Callithrix jacchus: one gene and its partners. The protein of the gene in region 2 interacts with the protein of the main gene of each other region in a pairwise test. Links are inferred from orthologs where the notes say so. Each region holds a gene or a part of one and is shown on either strand. Other genes may lie near its edges.

Region 1 (7,187 bases), on a different chromosome or scaffold from region 2:
CCTTCTCTGGGGGCTCCCAGGCACAGCCGAGTGCAGAGGCCCCCACACCCACGGTGGGTGCCCGAGAAAGGAATGGCGTCGCACAGCCCGGTAGAAAGGGTTTATTTATGCGCAACGGTTCACACAAGCCTTCCTCAAATTCCGCTTTACAGTAAATAAAGCTGTGAGTTTCCCGTTTCCATGCACAACTACATATCAATCTACAACTGTCATTGAATCATGAAAAAATAGAGCGTCTCCCCTTTTGTCATTGTTCTGGCAACATCTGGAAAAGCATCAAGAACAGAGCTGCTCACTCCTGGACTGGTTATTTGGTTAAAACCTAAAACGTTAGGTCAAAGGAATCAATCACCCAATACAAATAAATATTGCATTATGAAAGAGATGGGCAGAGTCCCATGGTATCCCTTTTTAAAGCGGAATTTCCAGCACAGCAGCATGGCTCTCACAGAGACCAGCAGGATGCAGCTACGGGATGCCACGTGGGCCGTCCCTTCACCGAGTGTGAGGATGTGGTGCAGGGCACATGCGCTCCGTCTGCGATGGGGACCAGTTCGCTGTGACTGCAGAGTGACCTGTGTTCAGAAACAGCCGCACGCATCTGCAGACCACGCAGGGCCCAGCTGGGTTCTCACGTGTGAGGGCCAGCACTTGCTTTGGCGACAACAGCTGCTCTGGACGCCAAGCAAGGAGAGTGATGTGCCAGGTCCCTGAGGACGGGCCTCCTGTGCTGCCCCTCAGCCCCCCCGAAAGGACCCAGAACAAAGGAGTGGGAGAGGGGACGCCGCGTAAGGCCTGTGCTTTATTGTGGGTCAATCTCGGGGGACGCGGCGGCCAGCAGGGGCAAAGCCCCACTCTTGGGTCCCAGCAGCATAGCAACCGGCAGCCGCGCCACCCTGAGCCGCCGCACAAACCAGACGTGCCACAAACAGACACGCGCCAGCACGCGGCCACTGCCAGCCTCAAGGCCAGGAGCCCCTGGGGCCAGGAGCCACCCAGGACTCGCCTCCGAAATGTCCCTCGAGCCGCCGTTGACCATGGTGTCTCCACGTGGCCCGGCCAATTCAGTCCAGCTCGATGGGGCTGCCGTCGCTGGGGCTCTCCTCCCCCTCCTCCTGCTCTGAGGAGCCCATAAGGCTGCTCAGAAGGTTCCCTGGAAGGAAGGACAGCATGGCGGTCAGGCCTAGGCAGCCTCCTGCCGGCCCCCGAACCCCTCCTCCCACAGATGCCTCAACAGGCATCCCAAGCGACATGTAAAAAGTCTCACAACACTACTGTATGTGGCCCGTGAACCCGAGGACAGGGAACCGATGACCACAAAGAAATACTCAAACATGGAGAAGCCATGGGGGTATCCACAGAACCACCCTCCATGTCCACGGAGCAGCCACAGGAAGGGGGAGAGTCCATAGAACCACCTTCCACATCCACCAATGGGGCTGTGGAGTGGCGATGTGGGCCTACAGAGATGCCCTCCACATCCTCCAACAGAAGCCACGGAGGGCCCTAGAGAGCTACTAACACGACCTCATGTATACTTTTCAACAGAGAAGTGCTGCCGTAGAGCACATGTGCCACACACCCTTACAGCGACCTACTAATAAACTGGATGAGCCAAGCCTTCAACGGCTGCTCACAGGGGCCAACTGTGGTCACTGTCACCTGATTTTCATCCAATGAACAACCACTCTGTACATACAAAGCCAGAGTTCAAAAGTCTCCGGAAACCAAACTGCTGGAAACCGGACAAGTCAGATGTTTCTCTGAGCACACAGCCAGCCCCACAAATCGACCCCTACCAGGAAGTGTGAGAAACCTCAGGGGCGGGGAGCTCTGGAGCAGAGACGGGGCTGGGAGGCACTGAGCTAGGATTCAACTCTGAAATATAATTTCCTACTAACAAAAGGAAACTGAGAAACATTGAAAAGAGCAAAGAACCACTGCTACGTGAAGGACTGCAGAGGACCCCACACTGACCCAGGGTTGCAGTGGGAGTGGCGAGGGCACCTCAGCTTACCGAGCAGGCCTCCGTAGGAAGATGTCTGCTTGGGCGGGACACCGAAGAACAGCTGTCCTATGCGGTCGAGGTACTGCAAGGCATGGGCAGCAGGTTCAGGAGAGGGCGGACCCAGGCTGTGGGGTCCCAGCTAGGGCAGTGCAGCCTTGAGGGCCCCTCCCCATTCCAGTCCCAGCCCTCACCTCGTTGTACATCGGGTCCCGCCGGAGGGATGGCTGGTACTGCTCACATAACACGGTGAACACCGTCAGCTTTCCGCTGGGACACAGGGACATAGGGAGATGCTGGGGGAGCAGGAGAGGGCCACACACACCTGCGCACACACCTACACACATTGCCACATCTACACCCAACACTTACCTACACATACACACCTACACCACCACTGCGTCTACACCCAACACCCACACACACACCTGTAACACCACTGCGCCTACACCCATAGAAGATGGCAACACGCACCTGCACACACACCCCTGCACATGCTACCATGCCTACACCCAACACTCATCTGGACACACCCACACAGTTACCCATGCCACGCCTACAACCAACACCCACACAGCAACCCATGCCACCAAGTCTATACCTAAAACACTCATCTGCACATACCCACAGCTACCTACACTGCCATGTCTATAACCAACACACCTACACACACCCAGCTACCTACACCAAGTCTACAACCAGCACACCTACACACACCCACACAGCTACCTACGCCATGTCTACAACCAGCACACCTACACACAACCACAGCTACCTACTCCACGTCTACAACCAACACACCTATACACCCACAGCTACCTACGCGTCTACAACCAACACACCTACACACACCCACAGCTACCTATGCCATGTCTACAACCAACACAGCTACACACCCACAGCTACCTACACCATGTCTACAACCAGCATACCTACACCCACTCAGCTACCTATGCCATGTCTACAACCAGCGCACCTACACCCACACAGCTACCTATGCCATGTCTACAACCAACACAGCTACACACCCACACAGCTACCTACGCCATGTCTACAACCAGCATACCTACACCCACACAGCTACCTATGCCATGTCTACAACCAACACACATCTACCTACGCCATGTCTACAACCAGCATACCTACACCCACTCAGCTACCTATGCCATGTCTACAACCAGCACATATACACCCAACCGCTGCTACCTACGCCATGTCTACAACCAGCATACCTACACCCACTCAGCTACCTATGCCATGTCTACAACCAGCACACCTACACACACCCACACAGCTACCTACACCACGTCTACAACCAGCACACTCACACCAACCCACACAGCTACCTACGCCATGTCTACAACCAGCACACCTACACACACCCACACAGCTACCTACACCATGTTACAACCAACACACCTACACACACCCACAGCTACCTACACCACCAAGTCTACAACACACACCCCCCACACAACTACCCATGCCACAGCTATACCCACCCACCCCCACACATCAACATCTGCACTCATCACATTGACACCCAACACCTGCGTGCACACACCCCCCCAGCTACCCACGCCACCACATCGACATACAACGTACACCCCCAGAATACTGAGACGCACCCATCCACAGCCAGCAGCAGGAACCAGATGAAGTTGAGCAGCGGCTCCACGAACGGAGGCCCATCCTCGATGGACGGGTGCTTCTGGGTGTACGTCGTGAAGACCACAGATGCACTACTTTTGTTTTTTAAACACAGAAACCTGGAAATGAGAACATGCTGGTGGAGGAAAGGCTGGAGGACACATTTTCCACCCGCGCAGGCACCAGCCTCTGACATGCCCTGGTCCTTCCCAAGCTCACACACCCACGGGTCTCACAGCCCCCAGCATGGAGGGACCCAGTGCTTCATGCGTGTCGCTCTCACAAGCAGGGGATCCTGGGGAGGCCAGCAATTTATAGGTGAAGAGAATGAAGCTTGAGAAGGTCATAAGGCTCCGGAGCCAGAACCCAGCTTGAGCCCCATCTGAATAATGCACTGAGTGAGCTCTTCTCTCCCCCGTTGCCCGCACCCATCAGATGATGGCCCACACCAGAACACTTGGCCACAGCCCAGCAGCTGGCGGGTGCTACGCAGACCCTGGCTCCAGTTTGAGGAGGGCCTACAGAGAGGGCTCAGTGGCCCAGGGGCGGGCTACCATCAATCCAGAGAACACATCTACGCAGTGCAGAGCCAGTGAGCTCTGGGTTTGACCCAGCTTTTCATTTAAGTCACGGACGCCCTCCTGGGAGAGCTCAGCAGTGGGCAGCACTGAGGTCAGAGGATGACTGTCCCCAAATCCCACATCAAATCCACAAAGCCAGTCCTACCCCAACGCCCGCCTAGAAATTCACATTTGTTTTGTGGAAGAAATGGACTTGGGCACACATAAGGCTTTCATGAGAAAGGAAGCGAGTGCCCAAGCTCAGCCTGCAGGATGCCCCAGTGTGCTGGCGGGAGGGCTGCAGGGTAGATGACTCACTGACAATTCTAAGAACTGGGAGTGCATTCCCACAGTTCACAGGCTGAGGCCGGCCGGAATAGAGCAGAGGTTACAGGGCCTCCCGGCAGCAGGTGAGAGGTGCACCGCAGAAAAGGGGGAGATTCCAAAATACTTCTTAAACTTCATAAAACTTATTAAAATTCATGAGTCACTCTGGCTGACACGTGCACTGCAGGTTCTGCCCGGAGTGAACTCAGTTTACGCTGCACCACGGCTCGGGCCGGGGACAAGGCAGCAAGGGAAGCCAGAACCCGTAGAGCCATCCGACACCTACTGTAGCACGGCCTGGGCCACAAACATGTCCACCTCGCTGCGGAAGCCCCGGGATGTGGAGTACTCCACCAGCATGTTGGCACAGCCCTCCCCGTCCGCTGAGTGCAGAAAATGATACCGTGACTCACAATAGTTTTGTTCTGCAAAGAAAAGACAGAAAAACTCAAATATGCTTCATGAATATAATATAGCACAGGAGATGGGGAAAGATGCATCCATGTTAATTCTATCCCACCTGCCCATGAGAAGAGCCCATGGAGAGCCCCGTAGGCAGAGGTGCCACCACAGGGACTCAGCCAGTCCACACCCCACACACCACCAAATAACAAAAACAGCGAAGAGCGAAAGCCACGCAGCCAAGCAGCCACGCAGCCACACAGCACCTTCTTTCTCCAAGCTCCCAGAGCTGTCAAATCCAACCACATTAACGTGCACATAGTGATGAGCAATGACAGAGTGTCACCGTGTAACCCTTCTCACCTACCAGAGGAAACGTACAGGGAGCAACGTAATCAGAGCCCAGGCCAGTGCACTTAGAATCTACATGAACAGCAAAAAGCAGCCTGATCTTCACACCACACTGATCCAATGACCATCTCAACCCACACCATCTCATACACACTCACTCCACTCCCCGGCCCCACCTTAACACCTGCTCACACTCACTCCACTCCCAGGCCCCATCCTAACACCTGCTCACACTCCACTCCCAGGTCCACCCTAACACCTGCTCACACTCCACTTCCAGGCCCCATTCTAACACGTGCTCACACTCCACTCCCTAGCCCACCCTAACACCTGCTCACACTCACTCCACTCCCAGGCCCACCCTAACACCTGGTCACACTCACTCCACTCTGAGGCCAACCCTAACACCTGCTCCTACTCACTCCACTCCCAGGCCCACCCTAACACCTGCTCACACTCTACTCCACTCCCAGGCCCACCCTAATACCTACTCACACTCCACTCCCAGGCCCCACCCTAACACCTGCTCACACTCTACTCCCAGGCCCACCCTAACACCTGCTCACACTCTACTCCACTCCCAGGCCCACCCTAATACCTACTCACACTCCACTCCCAGGCCCCACCCTAACACCTGCTCACACTCTACTCCCAGGCCCATCCTAACACCTCCTCACACTCACTCCACTCCCAGGCCCACCCTAACACCAGCTCACACTCACTCCCAGGCCCCTCACCTGCCTCGGGAGCCCCGCCCTTCCCGTGGTACACAACTCCACAGCACACTCCAGGCCCCTCCTCTGCCTAGGGAGCCCCGCCCTTCCCACAGTATACATCTCTGCAGCACACTCTAGGCCCCTCTCCTGCCTCGGGAGCCCCGCCCTTCCCACGGTGCACATCTCTGCAGCACACTCCAGGCCCCACCCCTTCCACCTATGGCGCCCTTTACCGACAGCAGCCTCCAGGCCCCTCCTGCTGCCTGTGTGGCTGCCAGCATGCCCCACCCCTTCCACCTATGGCGCCCTTTACCGACAGCAGCCTCCAGGCCCCTCCTGCTGCCTGTGTGGCTGCCAGCATCACCGTCACTTTGCTTTCTCTCCTGTTGTCTCCCTGCATCCCCAAGCCTTTACCTGTGGGCGTTATTTCTTCCCCAGGAGAAAAGTACCAAGGAAGGTCGAGCCCACAGGTCCTGCAAGGAGTCTGTGTTCAGGACAGCAGAGGCCATAAGCAGCCACCTCAGCGTGGACAAGGCCTGGGCTCCCAGGGTGAGGTCTGGCAATGCCCCACAGCACCGTCATGGTGTCGGGGACCTGGGCCTGCACCCACCCCAGTGGGAGGCAGCCAGGGCTCCTCTTCAGGGGGGATCTCGGCAGAGGCGCTGAGCACAGCCCTCCCACACGTGCCCCAGACAGCCCCTACCTACCCCATGGTGGGCAGGGATCCTAACAGACACATATGTCCCTCCTTACTATTGCTTGTGCCTGTCTTAGGAGCTGCCATGCAGGTCTCCTGGACACTGAGCATGGGTGCCACCCACCCTATCCACTCACTCACTGCCTGGTTCTGCCCACAGGGCCCATGCAAAGGAGTAGCGAGGGCAGCCACACTGTTGACGCAATTGTCCCTAATTCATCCCAAAGGCAGGCGACACTCCCAGGTAGGTAAGGGGACAGCTCCTCACTCCCCAACCTGGCATCGGGGCCCACACAGAGCAGCGGCTCACCACGCAGGACTGAGTAGGGTTGCCTGCAGCCATGTTCGTGTGGAGGCGTGCTGGCCGGGGCACAGGTGGTGCATGGGAGGCTGGCTGTCGGCAGAGGCCAGGGGAAGTAGCAGCAGGTGCACTCCAGGGGCCATGAGGCACCGACCTGCGCCAGCCCCTTCTAGGAAGG
Region 2 (7,968 bases):
ACTTTTTTTTTCCGTCCTTGTTTTTTTTTCTTGAGATGGAGTCTCACTCAGTTGTGCAGCTGGGGTGCAGTGGCACAATGTAGACTCCCTACAACCTCTGCCTCCCGGGTTCAAGCAATTCTCTGTCTCAGCCTCCCGAGTAACTGGGATTACAAGTGCCCACCACGCCTGGCTAATTTTTGTATTTCTTCTTTTAGAGATGGGGTCTTGCTATGTTGCCTAGGCTGGAGTGCAGTTCACAGGCGCGATCCCACTACTGATCAGCACAGGAGTTTTGACCTGCTCCATTTCCAACCTGGGCTGGTTCACCCCTCCTTAGGCAACCTGGTGGTCCCCCGCTCCCAAGAGGTCACCATACTGATGCCAAACAGTGTGGACACCCAGTCAGCATAGCGCACTACAGTCCAGAACTCCTGGGCTCAAGCAATCTTCCTACCTCAGCCTCCCAAGTAGCTGGGACTACAGGCGCCCGCCACCGTGCCCGGCTGTTTTTTTTTTTTCTTTTGTGAGACGAAGCCTGACACTGTTGCCCTGTCTGGAGTGCAGTGGCACGATCTTGGCTTAACCTCCACCTCCCAGGTTCAAGTGATTCTCCTGCCTCAGCCTCCTGAGTGGTTGGGATTACAGGTGCCTGCCACCATGCCTGGCTAATTTTTTGTGATTTTAGTAGAGACAGGGTTTCACTCTGTTGGCAAGTTCTCAAACTCCTGACTTTGTGATCCACCACACCCAGCCTAATTTTTGTATTTCTAGTAGAGACAGGGTTTAACCATCTTGGCCAGGCTGATCTTAATCTCCTGACCTTTTGATCCACCTGCCTTGGCCTCCCAAAGGGATTACAGGTGTGAGCCACTGTGCCTGGCCCTTGCTCCCCTTTTCTGAACACAAATTTCCAATGGGCACTTGATGAACTGGATAATTCTGGTTCCCCCTGCTACCTTAAGAAGTGTTTATGGCCAGGCACAGTGGCCTGGGATTACAGACGTGAGCCACTGCACCTGGCCACACTCACCTAATTTTTTGAAATTGTTTTGTAATGACAGGGTTTTGCAGGCCAGGCACAGTGGCTTATATTTGTAATCCCAGCACTTTGGGAGGCCAAACAGGTGGATCACTTGAGGTCAGGAGTTTGAGATCGGTTTGACCAAGGTGGCAAAACACCATCTCTACTAAAAATACAAAAATGAGTCAGGCATGGTGGTAGTAATCACAGCTACTCGAGAGGCTGAAGCAGGAGAATCACTTGAACTCGGGAAGTGGAGGTTGTAATGAATAGAGACTCAGCCACTGTACTCCAGCCTGGGCGACAGAGTAAGAGTCTGTCTCAAAAAAAAAAATTAATAAATAATAGGCTGGGTGCGGTGGCTCACGCCTGTAATCCCAGCAGTTTGGTAGGCTATGACATTGCCCTGATTAAAACAACTTCCCATTAAACCTGGAGTCAATGCCCAACTGCTTACAGTGCACTGACTCAATCTCAAAAAAAAAAGAAAAGAAAAGCTGTCTGAGGCTGGATGCAGTACCTTACACTTGAGGCTGAGGCAGGAGGATTACTTCTCCAGCCCAAGAATTCGAGACCACCCTGGGCAACATGGCTGTGTCTTTTTTTTAATGTCAAAAGACTCTGTGTCTTTTTTTAATTTTTGAGACAGAGTCTCGTTCTGTTGCCTAGGCTGGAGTGCAATAGCACGATCTCGGCTCACTGCAACCTCTGCCTCCCAGGTTCAAGTGATTTTCCTGCCTCAGCCTTTCGAGTAGCTGGGATTACAGGCATGCATCACCAGGCCTGCCTAATTTTGTTGTATTTTTAGTAGAGACAGGGTTTCACGTTGGCCAGGCTGGTCTTGAACTCCTGACCTCAAGTGATCTGCCCACCTTGGCCTCTCAAAGTGCTGGGATTACAGGTGTGAGCCACCAGGTCCAGCCTTCACACAGCTTTAAATGCTACCTTTGGGTCAGTGACTTCCAAATCAGTAACAATCTCCTCTGAGCTCCAGACTCACGTAAACAAGCTACTGTCATGATGTTTCCACTTGGATTTTCAGTGGGCACCTCAGATTCGCTGCGGACTAAATGACATTCTTGACTTGTCCCTTCTAAACCTACTCCTTTACTAGTTTTCCGCATCCTAGCTGCTCAGAAAATAAAAACATGTAACTAGTTCATTTATTTTTCTCACCCATTCCGACCAAGTAATCTCACTAATTTACTTCTGTTAAATAAGTCCCTGGTGCGATGCGGCTCATTCCTGCAACCCCAGCACTGTGGGAAGCCAAGGCAGTCAGATCACTTGAGGTCAGGAGTTGGAGACCAGTCTGGCCAACACGGTGAAACCCTGTCTCTATGAAAAATACAAAATTAACAGGGCATGGTGGCACATGCCTGTAATGGCAGCTACTGGGGAGGCTGAGGCAGAAGAATTGCTCGAACCTGGGAGGCAGGGGTTGCAATGAGCTGAGGTTGCACCACTGCACTCCAGCTTGGGCAACAGAGGAGTCTTGACTGTCTAAAAAAAATAAGTAAATGAATTCCCAAATCTGACTGCTTCTCCCCCAACATTCTGTCCCACCACAGTCCAGGATGCTGTCATCTCTCAACTGGTTACAGCCCCAACCTCATTACTTTCCTTGACAACTGAATCTCCACTTAGCTGTCAGAGGGTACTTTTCAAACATGAATTTGGCCATGACACTGCCCTGCTTAAAACAAACAACTTCCCATTAAACCTGGAGTCAACGCCCAACTGCTTACCGTGCACTGTAAGGTCCCACACCATGTGGCTCTGATTGGTCTTTCCAACTTCTCCTTCCCCTACCCTGGCTCTCTAAGCTTCAGGCACTCTGGTGTCCTTCCTGCTCCGCAATTCCTCATTCGTTCCCTTGTGAGTATGTTGAGGAAGGGGTGAAACAGGAGAGATACAGGATACAGAATGGATAGGACATGGTGGCTGCTGATGTGTGTGCACAAGAAAGGCTGGAAGGGTCTTTCCCAGAAGTGGGAGCTAAGCCCTGCTCCACTCACCATAGCAAAGAGGTTGTCATAGCCTTTGACCTTGGTAGGCACCTTTGAGAACTTCTGGTCAAAAGCATCTGAGATGTTATGAGCTGGGTCTGTGGAGATGATCAGAACACTCTCACGTCCCTTGGACAGCTGGACTGCCAGGCTGCAGCTGGGTAACGGAAAAGTCAAAAGATGGGGGATGAGGGGTTGGGCTCTGTTCCCTGGGTCTGCAAGGGGAGTGACAGGTTCCTTAAAGCAGGTGACCCGGATCAACAGGGGCCTTGAGAGAAGAGTATGGGTTACCGTGGGATTAAGCCTCAATCCCTAAAAAGGACCCCTCTCTGATTTATCTACTGAACCCTCAATCTGGACTAGAGAGTTAAGGTTCAGCTGACTGAGTCCATCTGGCCTTGTGCCCGCTTCTTCTTTGCTGGGCACACAGTGGTATGGCCCCGCTGTCCAGCCAGCATAGCGTGACTCTGTGCCACCTTCCTTAATAAGCTGGAGGGGGGGGGGGTCCCTTCCATTCCTTGCTAAGCACAGGATGGTTCAGTCCACTTGTCCAGGATAATCTGCCCCACGGACACTTCCTGCCTGCAGCTACCTGGGACACTCTGATCATGTGCCCTCTCCCTCCCTTTCCGCCCTCACTCTCGCCTTGGGCGTAAAACAGCAAGGTTCACCGAACTAGGATTGATTGTTTGGTCCAATCCCTACCCACAACTTTGATTTCACTCAGGTACGGTCCAGATGATGGGGATATCTAAGTGCTCCCCCGTCCCTCGAGCACTGAGTTCACTGTGGTTCAGCACTTGAGCCCCAACAGTGATGGTCCAACTCAGAGGGTGCTAGGCCTGCATTGAGGAGTTATCTCCCATTTGCTCCAGGTAACTTCTAGAGTGTGAAACCAAAGACCCCCGCCACCCGCCTTGCCCCGCTCGTGGTGGAAAAGCCGGTACTTGGCCTCCCCTACGCCCAGTGGCATACCCTACCCGGCTCCTGGCTCCCGCAGCAGGCTCCGTACCTGCAGGTGGTCTTGCCCACTCCACCCTTGCCCCCGACGAAGATCCACTTCAGGCTGCGCTGCTCGATGATGTTGCTAAGTGTAGGCTCCAGCGGCTCCACATCAGGCGCGTCTTCGAACTCCTCTGCCTCAACCCCCCACCCGGCCACCCCTGCCGCCATTTTGGAACTGGCTCACGTGATCAAGCGGAGCACACCATGCGAAGCACCTACAGGGGAAATCCTCTAGCACATTCCCATCGAGGCTATAAGCATGAATTAATTTCCTCATGACTTGCCTTTCAGGAGAAATATAAATTATGTTTTCACTATTCTTTGCTTCCAGGGTTCACTTTGTTAACCTCTGGTCTGTATTTCTCCAAGGACTCCCCTTACCAAATGAGCACATCAGTACGGTCCAGGGTACTCCTCTTCACTGATTGGGCCATAAATCTTGCGGCGCTCTTTTCATTGGCTAGATCTTTTCTTACTTTCACCAATCACTCTCACGTTCCGGTAGCGCCAACCTCTCCTTAGCAACCAGCCAAACACCCAGTCCTTGCCCTTTCGGAGAAGTTAGAGTCCAGGTCCGCCTTGGCCTGACTCCATAGGTTCAATTTTATGTCCATCATTTTCCCTCTATTCTTCACGTTGAATCCGAACCTCCCCTTTGGTTCCGCCCCTTCTGTTATTCAATTGGTTGTTAGCCACTTGGTTCCTCCCACAATCCAATCATAGAAGAGTTGACTCGGCTGGAGATGAATCCCTGGGGCTGATAGTGGCTTAGAGTGTGCAAGTCCGCATTCTTAACCATTACTCCCTCATCTCCCATGCTGAGCAGGCTCCATGCCTGCAATTGCGCTCAGTTTCGCAGAAGGGACCCTAATTCCTAAAAGCTTCCTTGCATTTCTCCTGTTCAAGAGAAGACTCCAGTATACCATAATTCACGTTCGAACTTCTGTCCTGGAGCAGGAACACAAGCTGGGTTCCAGGCCCCTGATGAAGATCTCACCCCATAATACTTTTTTTTTTTTTCGCTGTGTGATCTTGGGTAAGTCACTTAGCCTTTCTGCGCTTCAAGTTCTTCATCTATCAAATAGGGGTAAATACAGAAGCATCTCTAAAGGTTTTTTTTTTCTTTAGACGGAGTTTTGCTCTTGTTACCCAGGCTGGAGTGCAATGGCGCGATCTCGGCTCACCACAACCTCCGCCTCCTGGGTTCAGGCAATTCTCCTGCCTCAGCCTCCTGAGAAGCTGGCACGCGCCACCATGCCCAGCTAATTTTTTGTATTTTTAGTAGAGACGGGGTTTCACCAAGTTGACCAGGATGGTCTCGATATCCTGACCTCGTGATCCACCAGCATCGGCCTCCCAAAGTGAGTGTTTTTTTTTTTTTTTTTTTTTTTTGTTTTTTTTTTTTTTGGAGACCGAGTCTTGCTCTGTCGCCAGACTGGAGTGCAGTGGCGCGATGTCGGCTCACTGCAACCTCCGTCTCCCGGGTTCAAGCGATTCCCCTGCCTCTGCCTCCTGAGTAGCTGGGACTACGGGCGCGCGTCACCACACCCGGCTAATTTTTAGTATTTTAGTAGAGACGGGGTTTCACCGTGGCCACGATGGATCTCCTCACCTCGTGATCTGCCCTCCTCGGCCTCCGAAAGTGCTGGGTTCACAGGCATGAGCCACCGCGCCCGGCCAATACTCTTAACTTTAGACAGAGACTAGGGCCTAGAGATAACCCCGACTTCATCTGAATACTACAGGTCATAAAATAAACTGGTTAACATGTATGTAGAATCCGGCCGGGCGCGGGGGCTCATGCCTGTAATCCCAGCACTTTGGGAGGCCGAGGTGGTGGATCACCTGAGGTCAAGAGTTCTGGACCAGCCTGTCCAACATGGTGAAATACCGTCTGTACTAAAAATAAATTAGCCCGGCCTGGTGGTGCGAGCCTGTAATCCCAGCTACTCGGTTGGCTTAGGCAGTAGAATCGCTTGAACCCGGTGAGGGGCGGAGGTTGCTGTGAGCCGAGATGGCACCACGGTACTCCAGCCTGGGCGAAAGAGTGAGACTCCGTTTCAAAAAAAAAAAGCTGATTCTCAGGGACCTCAGCTCCACAGAGCAAGCTATGTCCTCATTAAATGTAAGCTTTATCCCAGAGATGGGTATCCAACCCAGAGATACCCCAATTTCTACGTGGGGGGCCCAGGCTAGAAATACTCTCTATTCCTAGTTGGGGACTCAAGTTCCTAGGTGTCAGCTGAGCACACAGCCCCAAATGAGGTGCTTCCCCTCACAGAGATTATTATTGGTGTCAGACAGGGATTCTAACCCTGCAAAGCGAATCTGCTCCTAGCCCCGAGTAAAACTACACTCCAGAGAGCAAGCTACAGCCTCAGTCTCAGACAACAGTCTCATTCTAGGGGAGCCCCTGTCTGGGGAACACCAGCTCGAGTACTGCTGAATTTTGAAAACCCGCGAGGCAGGGCTCGGTGGCTCACGCCTGGAATCCTAGCATTTTGAGAGGCTGAGGTGAGAGGATTGCTGGAGCCTAGGAGTTCGAGAGCAGCCTGGGGAACATGACAAAACCCCATCTCCACACACAAAAATTGGCCAGGAATAGTGGCGCATGCCTGTTTTCTCAGCTACTAGGGAGGGTGAGGTGGGAGGATCACCTCAGCTCTGGGAGGTCGAGGCTGCAGTGAGCCACCATCCCGCCTCTGCACTCCAGCCTGGGTGAGAGTGTGACTCTGTCTCCAAAAAACAAACAACAAAACCTCGCCAGACTGGGCCGAATGGCTAATGTCTGTAATCCCAATACTTAGGGAGGGGAGGGCAAGGCGGGAGGATCACTTGAGGCCAGGAGTTCGAGACCTAGCTTGGGCAGTATAGCCAGACGCCCGTCTCTAATTTTCTATTTTTCTTTTGTTTTTTTTTTGAGACGGTGTTTTGCTCTTGTTGCCCAGGCTGGAATGCAATGGTGCAATCTCGGCTCACCGCAACATTCACCTCCAGTATTCAAGCGATTCTCCTGCCTCGGCCTCCCGCCACTGGGCGTGGTGGCTCACGGCTATCCTAGCACTTTGGGAGGCCGAGGCTGGTGAATCACCTGAGGTCGGGCGTTCGAGACCAGCCTGGCCAACATGGCGAAACCCCGTCTCTACTAAGAGTACAAAAAGTAGCCCGCGTGGTGGCGCGTGCCTGTAATCCCAGCTACTCGGGAGGCTGAGGCAGGAGAATCGCTTGAACCCGGGAGGTGGAGGCTGCGGTGAGCCGATATCGCGCCATTGCACTCTAGCCTGGGCAGCAAGAGCGAAAACTCCGTCTCAAAAAAAAAAAAAAACAAAGAAACAAAAAAACCCGTGAGGCGGGGCCCCTCCCCCAGCCCCGCCTCTTTGGGTCGGTCCTCTCATCGCCCCGCCCCCTCCCCGCCTCAACTGCGGACTCTCGAGGGCCGGACCCCTCTTCCCATCATGCATTGTTCGGGACGAGAAGAGTCGGGCGCCAAGCGCGGGGCCGGAGCGGCTTTCCCGGAGTGCTTTGCGCGGCACCTGGCGACAAAATGGCTGCCCGAGGGAGACGGGCGGAGCCTCCAGGCCGGGAGGCGCCGGGCCCCGCGGGCGGTGGCGGTGGTGGAAGCCGTTGGGCTGAGTCGGGATCGGGGACGTCGCCCGAGAGCGGCGACGAGGAGGTGTCGGGCGCGGGTTCGAGCCCGGTGTCGGGCGGCGTGAACTTGTTCGCCAACGACGGCAGCTTCCTGGAGCTGTTCAAGCGGAAGATGGAGGAGGAGCAGCGGCAGCGGCAGGAGGAGCCGCCCCCGGGTCCTCAGCGACCGGACCAGTCGGCCGCCGCCTCGGGCCCCGGGGATCCGAAGAGGAAGGGCGGTCCGGGCCCCACACTTAGCTTCGTAAGGAGCCGTGGGGGTGGGGGCGGGCGCCAGGGCCTGTCCTGAAAGCGGGAGTCGGGGCC
Region 3 (7,187 bases), on a different chromosome or scaffold from region 2:
AGTGCTTTTCTACCTATGAATGAAATCTATTGATTTCTGTGCCATTCCTGCAGCATTCTTGTTCATATGGGCTTAGAATTCAGTGCATGAATATCATTACATTCTTATATCTAACATTTCTAGTTAGCTTTGATTTAAAAAATACAAAATCTGATGCATTAATACTTTACTAAATTAATGACTTGATCATCTTTGGAATGACTAGGCAAGACCATTTTCAACTGTTATTTCTATGTTGTGAGTAACGTTGAAACTAAATATAGATGATAATAATAGTTATTTCACGGTGATGTTTAAAACGGCAGAAGTTTCTCAAGTCAGGGAAATGGGACAGTCTTTAAGGCTTTTTCATCAAAAAGGAAAGCAATCTGGATCTTCTACACCCAGGACAAAGATCCCGGCATTCTTGGTGACCTTTTACTCTGCCATCCTTAATACTGCTACAGGATTGTGGTGGAAATCATCTTCAAGACCGAACAGCTGGCTTCCTGTCATTCACATGGATCTACCGTAGGCAAAGAAACTGTGTCCCAGGACATGCTTCATGGATGACAAAGCAGCCAAGAGCCAGACTTCCTATCAGTCACCTGTGCACCTGACCCTGAAACAACATATTTTTATTTTCATAAACTGTACTTTTCCCCAGAACCTCTAATACTTGGCATTTAAAAAATTTGCATGTGGGATTTTTATAACAATATAAAATAATCCCATGGTCTTTTTTCAGTGTGAAAAGTTCCTCTTTGAAAGAAATACGATTTTGATAATATTTCCATCACCGGCGTAGTGAGAGGAGGATCTGAATCAAGATTTAAAAAACCAAACAACTTGAGAGTTAGGATGGGTATAGTTCTTAGACACTGGCACCATGACTTCTTTCTTTTTTGTATTAGGAAAATAAAACTGCTTTTTTCATGAGTGTCTTTTACTAAGAAGAATTAAAAGAGGGAAGTCAGAGTTCCCCAGTAATGCTATCATTAAACACCTAGAAGTAAAGCATTTATACAGCTTGTCATTAAAATTAACAAAAATGTAGTGGTACATGATGACAAAATGGTCTAGCTACACTATAAAAATATAACTGTATAGAAAAATTATAAACTAAAGCAATCCATTCACAGTTTCTACATATATTCTCATTATACACTGATTTAGACCTATTCTATGTGGGAAAAATCTCTTTGGCTGGTAAGGTAGAAGCTATCAAATGCTCACCTTAAATACTGGCAGAAGACCAGAGCTGTCAATGGATGACACCCAGCAGGGTGTTTTCTAAATGAATTGCAGTGAGGCAAATATTCCCTTTAGTGTCTTCTAACCCTAGGAGGAGGCTTAGAATTATTCAGGCTGCAAATCGAGGGAATTAAGAGTCTTAGTGTTCAAAATTCTATCCTTACACCCAAGGAGATGGAACCAGAAAGGCAGCCTCTCTCCAGAGCATCCCAAACTTGCATGAATTCCTGCTAAATTGCGGGAAGGCTGCGTCTCTGCTGTGGTGTCAGTTCCGGATGCCACACATCCACAATGAATATCAGCCGGAAAGATGAGGCGTCCTGCCATACCTCGTGCTCAAAAGAGTCATCAAAGATGAGTACCTTGCCTTCTTCCCAGGTCCTGCAACAGAAAGACAAGGATTCCTGAATAAAGCTTTGTGTGGTTAGGTGCCTGAGGATCAACTCCTATACATGTGCAAGAAGTACCTTTGGTAACAACCTTTGAGACATAACCAAATAACTAGAACATCAAGCCCAAATTTATTCTTCCCTTGATGATTAGGAAAGAATTTCAGAAATCTCATTATGAACATCAGTTTTCATTGCTCAGCACTGGAGACGTACAAACGACAGGGGATTGGTGATGAAGACATACTGGTTTTATTACATGCCCTTCAGTTACTTTGTATATTATTACATGTCTTGCAATTATTCTGGTTTAGACACCTGGGCAGTGACTGGCCTCGGGCTATGCCTCTCAGGACACCTGACAGGGGGTCTGCACATCTCCAATCAACTGTGTTTGCAGCTCACTCCACTTGTTCAAATTTCATTTTATAGAAGAAAGAAATCTACTTAAACACAATATCCATAAAGGAGAAAACTAAATTAGGAGTTTCCTAGCTAGTATTCCGGCTGAAGAAAATGGGCAGATTGGGAATGAATTTTGTTTATATTTTTAGTATCATCTTCTATGCAAGTGGGTTATCCATGGAATATTTTAAATCAATGTGGCAAAATACCCTATAGAGCTTCCAACATTACCTCATAAGATATCTGTATAAGGACTAAAATCTAAATATAGTGTTAGTCTATTAAGAGAGAAACATACAGGAGGCAGTCACACAAGGCTTTTCAAATCCAAAGAGAGTTTGTGAGCTACACCGATGGTTTTTTAAAAAAATAGATATTAATTGCCAATATATTAAATACCAAGTTATGTTTTTAAAATAATTTTTTTTGCTAGAAAATTTTCTTTAGATACTAACACTCCACTTAAGCACTGAAAATTTTATATCCTGGATTAGCAAATAATGACAATTATAGCATGGGAAATGCTAGCTTGATTTCAAGTTACTGTATTATCATAAAGATGTTTTCCTTGAGAAAATTAAGGGTGACTTTTTATGTTCCATATTAGGTGACTAACCAATATAAACTGAGCAATACTAGATATACTGCAGGGCTCCACAACTTGGTACTACTGACATCTAGGCCGGGTCACTCTTTGTTGTAGGGGCTGTTCCATGCACTAGAAGATATTTAGCAGCATCTCTGACCTCCAACCACTGTGAGGCAGTAGCATCCCTTTTATACTATTAGGCTGGTGCAAAAGTAATTGCAGTTTTTGCCATAGTTGTGACAAACAAAACATCTCTACTCATTGACAAATGGCCAGGGTAAGGGCAGGGGCAAAATCATTTCAGTGGAAAATAACTGACACACTGAATAAATCTGACAATAAAATTTCCAAGCTACCTAAACTAACAGATAAAATAATGAGTGTTTGCAAGTTTAAAGTTCACTGAAGTTGGGAACTAAACCTCTACTTCTACTACCCACCCTCCTGCCTCCACCCACTGTGCTGTCTCACATGCTTCATGATATGGTTTGGATGGGTCCCCACCGAAATCTCATCTTGAATTGTACTCCCATAATTCCCACATGTTGTGGGAGGGACCCTATCTATGGGAGTTCATTTGAATCATGGCGGGGCAGGATGGCTTCCCCCATTCTGTTCTCATCATAGTGAATAAGCATCATGAGTTCTGATGGTTTGATCAGGAATTTTCACTTTTGCATCCTCCTTATTCCCTTGCTGCCACCATGTAAGAAGTGCTTTTAGCCTCCTGCCATGATTCTGAGTCCTCCCCAGCCATGTGGAACTGTAAGTGTAATTAAACCTCTTTTTCTTCCCAGTCTCAGGGATGTCTTTATCAGCAGCATGAAAACAGACTAATACCCCTTGCCTCATGTCTTGCATTCCACACACACATGTTGATTGGCTCTTTTACAACTCCCCTAGAGGATTAGAGAGTTCCATTGGAGTTCCATCCAAGGGTGGCAAAAGGCAGAAATCTGTGGACTCAGGAGCAAATGACAGGCATGCATTCATTACCATGCAAAACCCAAATTGAGAAGAAAGGTAGAACTAAGGGTGGTAAATACATTGACAAGAAGAATCAGTGAAACAGTCCACAGCTTCTATAGTTAGGTGGACATTTTCCAGGTCTTAGTGTTGTCACTGGGATTAGCAATGTCAGTGAGTACCACAGACAAGCCTAAAATTTATGCAGAAGATGAGGGAGGAACTGTACTCAAAAAGAAAGGCAGTGCACCCATGTTCACAGCAGCAGTGTTATTCACAACAGCCAGAAGGTGTGAGCCACCCATGTGTCTATCGATGAATGAACAAAAAAATGTGTACACATACAATGGAATATTAATTCAGCCTTAAAAAGGAAGGAAATTTTTATGCATGCTACAACATGTATGAACTCTGAGGACATTATGCCAAGTAAAATGAGCCAGACTCAAAAAGACAATTTCTATTTGATTCTACACATCTGAGGTCCTAGAGTAGTAGTCAAATTCATGGAACTCAGAGAAGAGTAGTTGCCAGCGGCTGGTGTGAGGAAGGGAATGGGAATTATCATTTAATGAGTATGGTTTCAGTTTTGCAAGTTAAAAAAAGTTCTGAGGATAGACTGTAGTGGTGGTTATACAACATGGATATATGTAATGTCACTAAACTGCACACCTAAAAATGGATAATGTGGTAAATTTTATTATGTGTATTTTACTATAATTAATTAGAGAAAAAAGAGAAAGGAAAAGGAGAGCATGTGATAGAAGAGAAAGAGAGAAGCAATACAGCAAGATGGGAATTTATGGTCTTTGAGGGGAAGCCTCTTGACCCTGGCATTTATTACTTATGGGACCTGAGGTGAGTCACTTAGTGTAATTGAGTCTTTGTATCTTCATCTGCATAGCTGATGGGAGGATTAGCATATGGTTGGCACCTAGTAGATATTCAATTAATGACAGAGAATATAAAACAGAGAAGGAATGAAAAAATAAAGACAAATAGGGAAAAGATAAAAGACAGAGGTGAAATGTTGAGAAGTAGTATGTTCCCAAAAATGACCCTGGCATCACTCTGTATGAAATCTGCCTTCCTCTGAGACAACTAAAAACTTCCAAGGGAGATGAGATATAAAAACATCTTCAGAGAATCTGTGAAATACACTTTGTACAGCAATGACAAGTGATTTTCAAAGTTTTTTGGGTGGCAGAGAACCTGGAAACTACTTAAAATACTAGAAGCAATTAAAATAATGGAAGAGAAAATTCTAGCACATCCAAAAGACATTTTTTACTAGATTATCATAGGTATAGCAAAGCCAAAGATCTAGAAATGTTTTATGAGAGAAAGGCCTTAAGCATTCCATTCACTAACTTAAATTCCCTGTGAACTGGGAAAAGTTATTAGCACCAGAGCACACTGGTCACTCATGCATATAGGAGTAGAACTTAAGAGCCACAGGCTTGTGGCTTTCCAGATACATCAAGTCAAATACAGATTAATGTAAACCATTAATTAACCAATTTTATAAACGAGAAATTTGGAGAGGTAACCCAAAGAGTGTTAACTGGCCTGTTTTAGGGTCACAAAACCAAGGGGAAAGTGGGTACTGTTAGACTTATATTTGCCCTTCCACTTTCTTTCATACATTTCCCCAGCAAATAGCAAAGATAATCAATTACATAATATAAATTCTTTAATGTAGATTTCTTCTGAATTCTTAAAAAATTGGTGCCTTTCAATCAGTTATTAGAGATAGTATGACTAAAGTGCAGTCACAATTCACCTAAAAGGGGAAAATGGAAGAACAATAAAGCCTCATCCAAGCCATGTCCAGACTTAAGTGACTCCAGGTTAAACCAGAGATGTTCACTTGCTTGGGAAAGAATGAGTGTTTTTTCCCACAACAAAGAGAGAGGAGCATAAAGATGTGAAAGGTCTTTAAATTGCTTCTGAATGAAAACCAATGACTCTCATTAGAATGCAAAGAACTAGTTTTCAGGCTACTTGCTTTGTGAGCAAATCTCCATAAAATAAGATTAGGTAACACTGGAATTATGACACTGAATCAGTCCTTTGGAGAAACGATCTTCAGAGTGGCCTGTGACAGAGGTCTTCCTGGAAGTACTGCTACGGCCTTTGTCCAAGGACTCAGAGATGTAGAGATTGGGGATGGGCAATGCTTTCTATCCCTAGGCAGCAACCTTGGCTCACAGCTGGAACTTCCTGCTTCCCTTCCTCTCTCTCTTTCTCTCCACGCCACCAACCCTTCCTTTTTTTCAACACAGGATCTGCTCCGTCACCAGGCTTGAGTGTGGTGGGAACATCACAGCTCATTGCAGCCTCTGTTTTCCAGGCTCAGGTGATCCTCCCACCTCAGCCTCCCAAGTACCTAGGACTACAGGCATGCACCAAGATGTCCAGTTTATTTTTGGATTTTTTGTAGAGATGGGGTTTTGCCATGTTGCCTGGGCTGCTCTCCAACTCCTGGGCTCAAACAATTCTCCTGCCTTGGCCTTTCAAGGTGTGGGATTATAGGCATGAGCCACTGTTCCTGGCCTACTGTTAGAATCTCTTACCCCTGAGAAGAAACCCTCTCTCTGGGTTGTCAAAAGATGTAACAAATATCTGGTCACATGATAAAACAGTATTATATAATCTGTCAACCTCTCAAATTATAATCATAATTAATGATAATGATAAAATGGTGACCGTGCACATTAATAACTATAATTTGGCCACAGAATTACCAGTGATATTAGTAAGGCTAAGTAATGATGCTAGGTGCTTATAGAATCTTCCACTTACAAATGTTATAGAAAATATCTTAGCTATCTTTGCTAAAATGTTCTGAGATTGGCAAAGGACATGATTGTGATTTTCACACAAAGGAATCACATGGAAACAGGTTCAGATGTCTGCAGTGACACGGTGATTTTGTGGCAGAAGCAGAAAGTCCTTACAGTCCAACACACTGGGTTAAGACCATGGTCCTGGGAGACATTCTTAGCATTTGTAGATGATATGCTGAGGTGGACTGCAAGGCATGCGGGCTGAGTGGAAAACAGAAAAGGATCAAAGAGCTAAGGAATAGCTGACATAGCTCTTACTCGAAATTCACCAGTTTGGACTCCACTGAAAGCCCTGGCATGGCACACAATGTAAGCAAAAGGTAAAACTGTATTGTCATCCTTCCTCTTCTCTCTCCCTTCCTAACAAACACAGACAACTTCCTCCTCTTAGCTCCAGGTCAACAGCAGTTGAGGGGTTTGTAACTCAGATGAAGGCACTGAAGCAGAAGGAAAAAGAAAGAGAAGAAGGAAATAGAAAGTCATAGTGTTACTGGAAAGGGGTCCCAATCCAGAGCCCAAGAGAGGGTTCTTGGATCTTGAACAAGAAAGAATTCAGGGTAAGTCCACAAAGTGAAAGCAAGTGTATGGCTTGCTTTCCAATGGCTACACCATAGGCTGCTGGAACCATTTTTATGGTTATTTCTTTATTATATGCTAAACAAGGAGTGGACTGTTCATGCCTCCCATTTTTAGACCATCTAGGGTAACTTGCTGATATTGCCGTGGCATATGTAAACTGTCAAGGCACTGGTGGGA
Region 4 (7,627 bases), on a different chromosome or scaffold from region 2:
TAAATTTTTTTAAGAGACAGTTCTTGTTATGTTACCCAGGCTGGTCTTGAACTCTTGGTCTCAAGCAATCCTCCTGCCTTGGCTTCCCAAGGGACTGGGATTTCAGGTGTGAGCCACCAGGCCCAGTTGAAAGAGATTTTTCTACAACATAAGACTCACTGTGATACTTCCCTGCTAAAAAGTACCTTTATGTCTTGGTTTAAAGACCACAATCTTCACTGTGGCCTGCTAGGCTCTGTGTGATCTCATTCCTCTCTGCCTCTCCACCTTCCCCTCTCATCCTTTGTCCTCTCTGTTCCAACCAAACGAGCCTTCTTTGTTACTCAGTGCACCATGTTCCTCTCCCCTTCAGAAACTTTGCACTTGTACTTTGCTTCGTCCTGGCCAATTTCTACTCATTCTTCAGAGCTCCCTTTTTCTGGAAAGCCCTTCTTGGCCCTCCAGGTTAGGTTGGGTGGTACTAACCACAATAGTAATTTTAGAGCTATTTATAAATTATTTAATTCCTGTGTCTCCCTGAATAGGGACTATGCCCGTCCTGTTCATCCCTGCATTAAGAGACACCTAAAATAAAACTTGGCATAGAACAGGTGGTCAAGAAGTGTTTGTTGAATGACCACAAGAGTGCTTAGCCCTTACCACATTACATGAAATCTGCAGTTTACCTAGTTTCTCTCATATCAGCCTGTGAGATTCTGGAAAACTAGTACAGGATCCAGCCCCATGCTTGACACTGCACGGGCTCAGCAGGGGTGTTCTGAGCAGGGGAGATATGTGCTGCCCAGATCCCCCATCACTGAGGACTTAGGACAGGCACTGGCTACCATGAGTGCTGTCAGCACAAAAAATGTTTCTCCATAGACAGGGCCATCTTGGCCCTTGTCTCACCCCTTGCAGGTAGCCCCACATCCAAAGACTGGTAAAGGCAGGGTATAAAGACCTGACCATTGGCCAGGCGGTGTCTCACGCCTGTAATCCCAGCACTTTGGGAGGCCAAGGAGGGTAGATCACAAGGTCAGGAGATCAAGACCATCCTGGCCAACATGGTAAAACCCTATCTCTACTAAAAATACAAAAATTAGCTGGGCTTGGTGGTGAGCACCTGTAATCCCAGCTACTCAGGAGGCTGAGGCAGGAGAATCGCTTGAACCCGGGGAGGCAGAGCTTGTAGCAAGCCGAGATTGTGCCACTGCACTCCAGCCTGGCCACAGAGCAAGACTCTGTCTCAAAAAGAACCACAGCTGGGCATGGTGGCTCACACCTGTACCCAGCACTTTGGGAGGCCAAGGCGGGCAAATCACGAGGTCAAGAGATCGAGACCATCCCGGCCAACATAGTGAAACCGTGTCTCCACTAAAATACGAAAACTAGCTGGACGTGGTGGCGCGCACCTGTAGTCCCAGCTACTCGGGAGGCTGAGGCAGGAGAATTGCTTGAACCCGGGAGGTGGATGTTGCAGTGAGCCGAGATCACACCGCTGCACTCCAGCCTGGCGCCTGGCAACAAAGCAAGACTCTGTCTTAAAAAAACAAACAAACAAACAAAAACAAACACCAAAAAACAAAAACAAATAAACAAAAAAGACTTGACCATCTTAGCTCAACTGATGGACCACTCTAGCCCCAGAGTCCCTGTAGCGTCAGCTAAGACTGTCTTGGGGCCTGCATGGAGCTCACTACTTTCCCCTTTTGCCACTCCTGTTCCCTCCCTTCCTTCCCATGTGCATTCCCATGCGTATTGCCCCCTCATCAACATCCTACACTCCAATCTCCATCTCAGAACCTGCTTCCTGAGGACCTAACCTTCAACAGGCCTTCAGTCCTCTCTTCCCCTTCTCTCAGCCATCATTTTCAGGGAACATTCATTCATTCACCTGAAGTTTGGAGGCACCATTCAACTGTTAAAGTGTTTCGTATCCGTTTTTCTATTACTTCTATCCTATACTGATTAGGTGGATCAGGAAGGGAGATTAGCCCCACTAAACGTGGAGAAATTGAGGCCGGACTGATGGCGTGACCAGACCAGCCTAAGGCCGCTGCACGAATGAAAAGCTGAGCTCTCAGACAGATTTTTGTCTCCCTGTCCCTGCCAAGTCTCTGCATCCTGGGACAAGAGGGAGGCTCACTGAAACGAACTCTGGTCTCAGGGGACAGAATCCTGAAACCCTGGCTCTGAGGTCCGGTACAGGAGGGCGCTGCCCCAGGACAGACGGGGAAACTGAGGCCCAGAGCCAATCATCCACCGCCTGCGGAGAACGAGAAGGAGGTGCGTCCTGCCTCGCGGGCCGAGCGGCGCCGTTGCTGCCTCCTCCCACCCCTCGCGCAGGGTCTGCCCGCCCCGTCTTAGCCCTCGCGACGTCGCCACCCCGGGAGCGAGCCATGGTGGTGGTGGCGACGGTGGCGGCGTGGCTGCTCCTGTGGGCCGCGGCCTGCGCGCAGCGGGAGCAAGACTTCTACGACTTCAAGGCGGTCAACATCCGGGGCAAACTGGTGTCGCTGGAGAAGTACCGCGGCTCGGTGAGTGCGCGGGGTCTGGCGGCGTCGCGCGGCCCAGCCTCACCCTGGTGGGGCCTGCGGGGCGTGGAGGGGGGGGGGTTACAGCCCGGACCCCTGAGCCGGGTGGCTCCGAGGCCGCCCCGGCCGCGCGGCCGCCAGACCCCGGCCCCCGCCCCACTCAGCTGTGACCCCCGGCACGGCGCTCCCATCCCGCGCCCGGCCCGCCCCGCGGCTACGTGGCACGGCCCTGGCGCGGAGGAACCCGAAACGCTCGCAGTCCTAGCCCACTTCGCTACGGGCACTTTTGGGCAGCGGAGTCCACACCTTCGCCGGGAGGCCGGGTACCACTGCCCAGCCTTTGCCACTCACGGGTGGAAAAAGTAACTGTAGCATCTTACGGCCTTGCTCTCTGCCGTCCCCACTTTCCGCATCTGGAACGGGGAGTGGCTGATTCGGAGTCCGGTGAGGAACACTGTGGAGATGGATGTGCAGGGCAGAAGGAGTCATTTCAAATGCACGGAGACCTCAGGCGGATCATCCTTGGGAGAGGGCACAAAGGCCAGGAGAGGGCACAAAGGCCCGGAGAGGGCAGGCATTCGCAGGAGGTCACACTACACCAGAAAGACGGAGCCTGGAAGAGAACTCCACCGCCACTGCCCTCCATCCGGAGTCCTCTCCAGGCCAAGTCCTTACTTAGATGGCAGCTGAGAGGGAGAGATTGAAGAGTCATCTAGGCTAATTGACCCCTCCTTACCAAGAGGGAATCTAAGTTCAGAGAGGATTTCGGAGAGGAAGGGTGTCTGGGTTGAGTCTTTGAACACAAGTGGATTTTACCCAGACTAATAAGCAAACAGCAAGAAGGGTGGGGAGTGGTGAGGCCAGGAGTTTCAGCTGTTGTGCTTGAAAGAGTCTAAAGCTGGAGGCTAAGAGTGGCGGAAGATGAGGCTGAAAAGGTTAGCAAGGGACCAGGCAGGACCTTGAACGCTACACTGAGAGGCCTGCATGTCACATTATGTGCAGTGAAGAACTCCCAGAGTGGGCCTCCTCAGGATGGACCTGGGGACTCGGGTGAGATGGCTGGGGAGTTGCACTCTAATGAACAGGTGGGCCAGCATCCAGTTTTGGATGAACCACACAAAAATGGATGTCAGCATTCTCCTGGGAGCAACACCATCTTTAGTGAAGGCAGTACTATATAAACCTTGAAATTTTCGATTATGCTGGGAGTGCTGGGGGCAGTAATCCCTGTCCTGACTGTCCCCCACAGTGTCATGAGTTTCAAATAAGCTAACAGTGTAGGTACACTTAGTAAACTGTAGAGTGCTTTGCATCTGTGTTTGGTGGATCCCAGCAGGAACCTCATTCAGAACTCAGGGAAAAGAACCAAGAACAGAGCCAGTTTCAATTCAGGCCTCCCATTCTCTCTAGGGAAACTCACCAGAGAGCCCCAGGTAGTCAAGCAGAGCACCTACTGTATACTAAGCAGATACTAGGCCAGGCCCTGGGGATACATTGGTGAATAAAACAGATACATTTCCACTTTAATGGAGCTTACATGGGGTCAGGAGAAGAGACAATAAATAAGAACTGAGAAATGCACAAGGTAATTCCCAGTGGTAATAAGGGTTAAGACAAAAATAGAACAAGGTCACACAGCTAGTAAGAGAATTAGAATATGAACCCAGACAGTCCAGCTCCAGCGTCTATGCCCTTAGTTGCCAAGTTCAGCGGTAAACCAGGGAACCGTAAATCCAGAGAAGCTGTAACTGGTGCTGAGTTAACCCAAGCTAGGCCTGCTGCTAGGGCAATATGCTCCTTCCTTCACTGGCAGACATTTCCTGGCTCCTACTATATGTCTGACACTGGGTCCAGATTTAGTGACATAGCCATGGGCAAGATTGACATGGTTGATGCCTTCAGGCTAATTGAGACCATAGTCATTTAGATCAGTATGGATGAATGAGTGACCATTTCGGAATGTGTGGGGTTATGCATGTACTGGTAGGCCTAAGTGTAGAGAGAGTGTGTGTGTGTGTGTGTGTGTGTGTGTGTTTGTGAATAGTTTGTTTCTTCTGTGTACAAATTTGAGTCTGTCTGTGCTTGTATATGTATATATGAAAATTAACTGTGTGTACTTGGGTGATTCTGTCTGTGTTTTGGATTCTAAGGACCAAGATTTTTGGTTTCAGGGATGGACCTAGAAGCCAGATTTTCCCCCGTCTAAAGATATGGGCAGATATGCAAGGTGTGAGTTAAAAATAAGCAAGCTTTGGCCAGGCATGGTGGCTCACACCTGTAATCCCAGCATTTTGGGAGGCCGAGGCAGGCAGATCACAAGGTCAGGAGTTTGAGATCAGCCTGGCCAACATGGTGAACACCCGTCTCTACTAAAAATATACAAAAATTAGCCAGGCATGGTGGCATGTGCACCTGTAATCCCAGCTACTCAGGAGGCCAAGGCAGGAGAGGCAGAGGTTGCAGTGAGCCAAGATCGCGCCACTGTACTCCAGCCTGGGTGACAGAGCAAGACTCCATCTCAAAAAATAAAAGCAAGCTTTAATTTTCTCATTGCCCAGGGATCCAGCAGGGGGGAAAAAGGAAGGAAAAAAAGAAGGAAGAGACTTATGAGTCCTAGTTTCTCACCATTCCAGGCAGAGTATGGTGTATGCTGACCTCAGACTGAGGAGGTTGTTCTAATTGCCAGTGGCCCCAGGCCCATGCCTGATCCTTTCTCACCTGGCGGAGGTAGGGTGCCAATGTACAGCTCAGTGGTTCAGTCATCTAGCCCAGTGGTTCTCAGCTAGGGGTGATTTTTCCCTTTAGGGCACAATTGGCAATGCCTGGAGACATTTTTGATTGTCAAGACTAGGCATCTGGGCCGGGCACGGTGGCTCAAGCCTGTAATCCCAGCACTTTGGGAGGCCAAGGCGGGTGGATCACGAGGCCGAGAGATTGAGACCAACCTGGTCAACATGGTGAAACCCCGTCTCTACTAAAAATACAAAAAATTAGCTGGGCATGGTGGCGCATGCCTGTAATCCCAGCTACTCAGGAGGCTGAGGCAGGAGAATTGCCTGAACCCAGGAGGCAGAGGTTGTGGTGAGCCGAGATAGTGCCATTGCACTCCAGCCTGGGTAACGAGCAAAACTCGGTCTCAAAAAAAAAAAAAAAAAAAGACTAGGCCTCTAGTGGGTAGAGGCTAGGGGTGCTGCCAAACATCTGACAATGAATAAATAGGACATCCCCCGAACAACAAAGAATTACCTGACCCAAATGTCAGTAGTGGTTTGGATGAGAAAGGAAGATAGGACTAGGCTGCCCGGCACAGGGGAAGGTTTAAAATCCTTTAATAATATATAGCAAGAAGCTGAAAACATAGCATCGGAGCCAAAATTCTAATTGCAGTATTATAATCAAGTTCCATTAGCCAGCTTTATATTTATTGCCTAAAGGCTTTAATAAATTTAGGAATTAGTCTAGTGATCAAAGAAAGTGGTAGGCTAGACATGGTGGTTCATAACTGTAATCCTAGTACTTTGGGAGGCTGAATTGATAGGATTGCCTGAGGGCAAGAGTTTGAGTCCAGCCTGGGCAACATGGAGAGACCTGTCTCTACCAAAAGTAAAAATTTAAAAATTAGCCAGGTGTGATGCACGTGCCTGTAGTCCTAGCTATTTGGGAGGATGAGGCGGGAGGATCACTTTAGCTCAGGAGCTTGAGACTGCAAACTGTTGGGGGGATGTCCTGTTATGATCATGCCATTGCTCCAGCTAGAGACCTTGTCTCAAAAAAACAAAAAAAGTGGTATTGATTCACTGGAGAGGAAGGGGACAAAAAGGGATTGCCCTGGGGTTTCAAGGGTTCTTTTCTCAAGAAAACCTGTCTATGTTCCCATGCAGGTGTTTGTGTTTATGTGCACACTTACTCATTCAGCTGACACTGAAAACTTTTCCATATGCCAGGCCCAGAGATGAAGTGGACATAGCTCCTTCCCTCCATAGGGTCACATTCTAGAAGGGAGACTGACACATATATAGGCAACCACAATGCTAAGTGGCGAGTGCTAGCTGACTGAGCCAAAAATTGAGCCCAGGTCTGCCTTTGTAACCCCTCTTATCAGCTCTCAGCATGTATTCACCAGTATATGTGCCTCTATCTGTGGATGTGCTGTGCGTGGGGGGGTGTATGTGTGGTGTTTGCTCATATATGTTTGTATTGTGGCGCATGTGCGTACCTATTTATGTGTATTATTATCGGTGAACATACGTTCACAGATGTTCCTGTATGTGTGCATACATTTGTAAGCCCCTGAATGTTTGATTTCATATGTGCCTGTCTGTGTATGTGTGAGAGCACTGGACACACATTTACATATGTGTACACTGTGTTCTTGTATGTGTGAGGCAGTATTAACTGTTGAGGGAGTCACATATGTGGATGTGTCAGGGCACGTACAGGTTCATGCCTCTTCACTGGGTTGTCTGGGCTCTGTTTTGTTTTGTTTCTGTCATACAGGTGTCTCTGGTGGTGAATGTGGCCAGCGAGTGCGGCTTCACAGATCAGCACTACCGAGCCCTGCAGCAGCTGCAGCGGGACCTGGGTCCCCACCACTTCAACGTGCTTGCCTTCCCCTGCAACCAGTTTGGCCAACAGGAGCCTGACAGCAACAAGGAGATTGAGAGCTTTGCCCGCCGTACCTACAGTGTCTCATTTCCCATGTTTAGCAAGATTGCAGTCACTGGTACTGGTGCCCACCCTGCCTTCAAGTACCTGGCCCGTGAGTCCTGGTCTCTTCATCCCCTCACACCTCCCTCAGCTGGCTGAGGCCATGGCTCCTTGGGCAGCAGAAGCCACCGGCTGGCTGGGTGACCTGGGGCCCCTTCCCCTTCCTGACCCTCTCAGGTGGACTGATGCTTTACTCCAGCACTAATCTTTGAGGAAAGTGAAGGCAGGTACAAGCTGAGGGGTATTCCTGCCTAAGAATATCTCTATACCTGCTGCCTCTCACTTCTCCCTCAGAAGGGATCCTGTTTGTTTTCACATTCAGGGGCTCCTAAAAGGAGACATTTGAGTCACTGTGAATTAGATGAGTTTATGGACTTCTGATGGAGAAACCAAGGCATAGACAGAGG

Evidence for each region.
Region 1: the proteins of GET3 (region 2) and GET4 interact in binary tests that used the Homo sapiens proteins (3 or more experiments, as listed by UniProt). The link is inferred for Callithrix jacchus from reciprocal best matches to the Homo sapiens genes GET3 and GET4.
Region 3: the proteins of GET3 (region 2) and ASPH interact in binary tests that used the Homo sapiens proteins (3 or more experiments, as listed by UniProt). The two-hybrid records come from large-scale screens. The link is inferred for Callithrix jacchus from reciprocal best matches to the Homo sapiens genes GET3 and ASPH.
Region 4: the proteins of GET3 (region 2) and GPX7 interact in binary tests that used the Homo sapiens proteins (3 or more experiments, as listed by UniProt). The two-hybrid records come from large-scale screens. The link is inferred for Callithrix jacchus from reciprocal best matches to the Homo sapiens genes GET3 and GPX7.

The regions. Positions count from the first base shown.
Region 1 is NC_133503.1:58,120,594-58,127,780, forward strand, and holds the end of GET4 (Golgi to ER traffic protein 4 homolog), read right to left. Parts: intron 4,968-7,187; coding exon 4,829-4,967; intron 3,775-4,828; coding exon 3,634-3,774; intron 2,276-3,633; coding exon 2,200-2,275; intron 2,091-2,199; coding exon 2,018-2,090; intron 1,154-2,017; coding exon 1,065-1,153; 3' UTR 86-1,064; downstream 1-85. UniProt on the Homo sapiens protein: As part of a cytosolic protein quality control complex, the BAG6/BAT3 complex, maintains misfolded and hydrophobic patches-containing proteins in a soluble state and participates in their proper delivery to the endoplasmic reticulum or alternatively can promote their sorting to the proteasome where they undergo degradation.
Region 2 is NC_133523.1:11,555,311-11,563,278, reverse strand, and holds the start of GET3 (ATPase GET3), read right to left. Parts: upstream 4,195-7,968; 5' UTR 4,186-4,194; coding exon 4,025-4,185; intron 3,170-4,024; coding exon 3,022-3,169; intron 1-3,021. Other genes in the region: TRIR (telomerase RNA component interacting RNase), read left to right, coding at 7,562-7,906.
Region 3 is NC_133517.1:17,557,882-17,565,068, forward strand, and holds part of ASPH (aspartyl/asparaginyl beta-hydroxylase), read right to left. Parts: intron 1,615-7,187; coding exon 1,464-1,614; 3' UTR 1-1,463.
Region 4 is NC_133508.1:89,378,807-89,386,433, reverse strand, and holds the start of GPX7 (glutathione peroxidase 7), read left to right. Parts: upstream 1-2,339; 5' UTR 2,340-2,378; coding exon 2,379-2,516; intron 2,517-7,010; coding exon 7,011-7,272; intron 7,273-7,627. UniProt on the Homo sapiens protein: It protects esophageal epithelia from hydrogen peroxide-induced oxidative stress. It suppresses acidic bile acid-induced reactive oxygen species (ROS) and protects against oxidative DNA damage and double-strand breaks.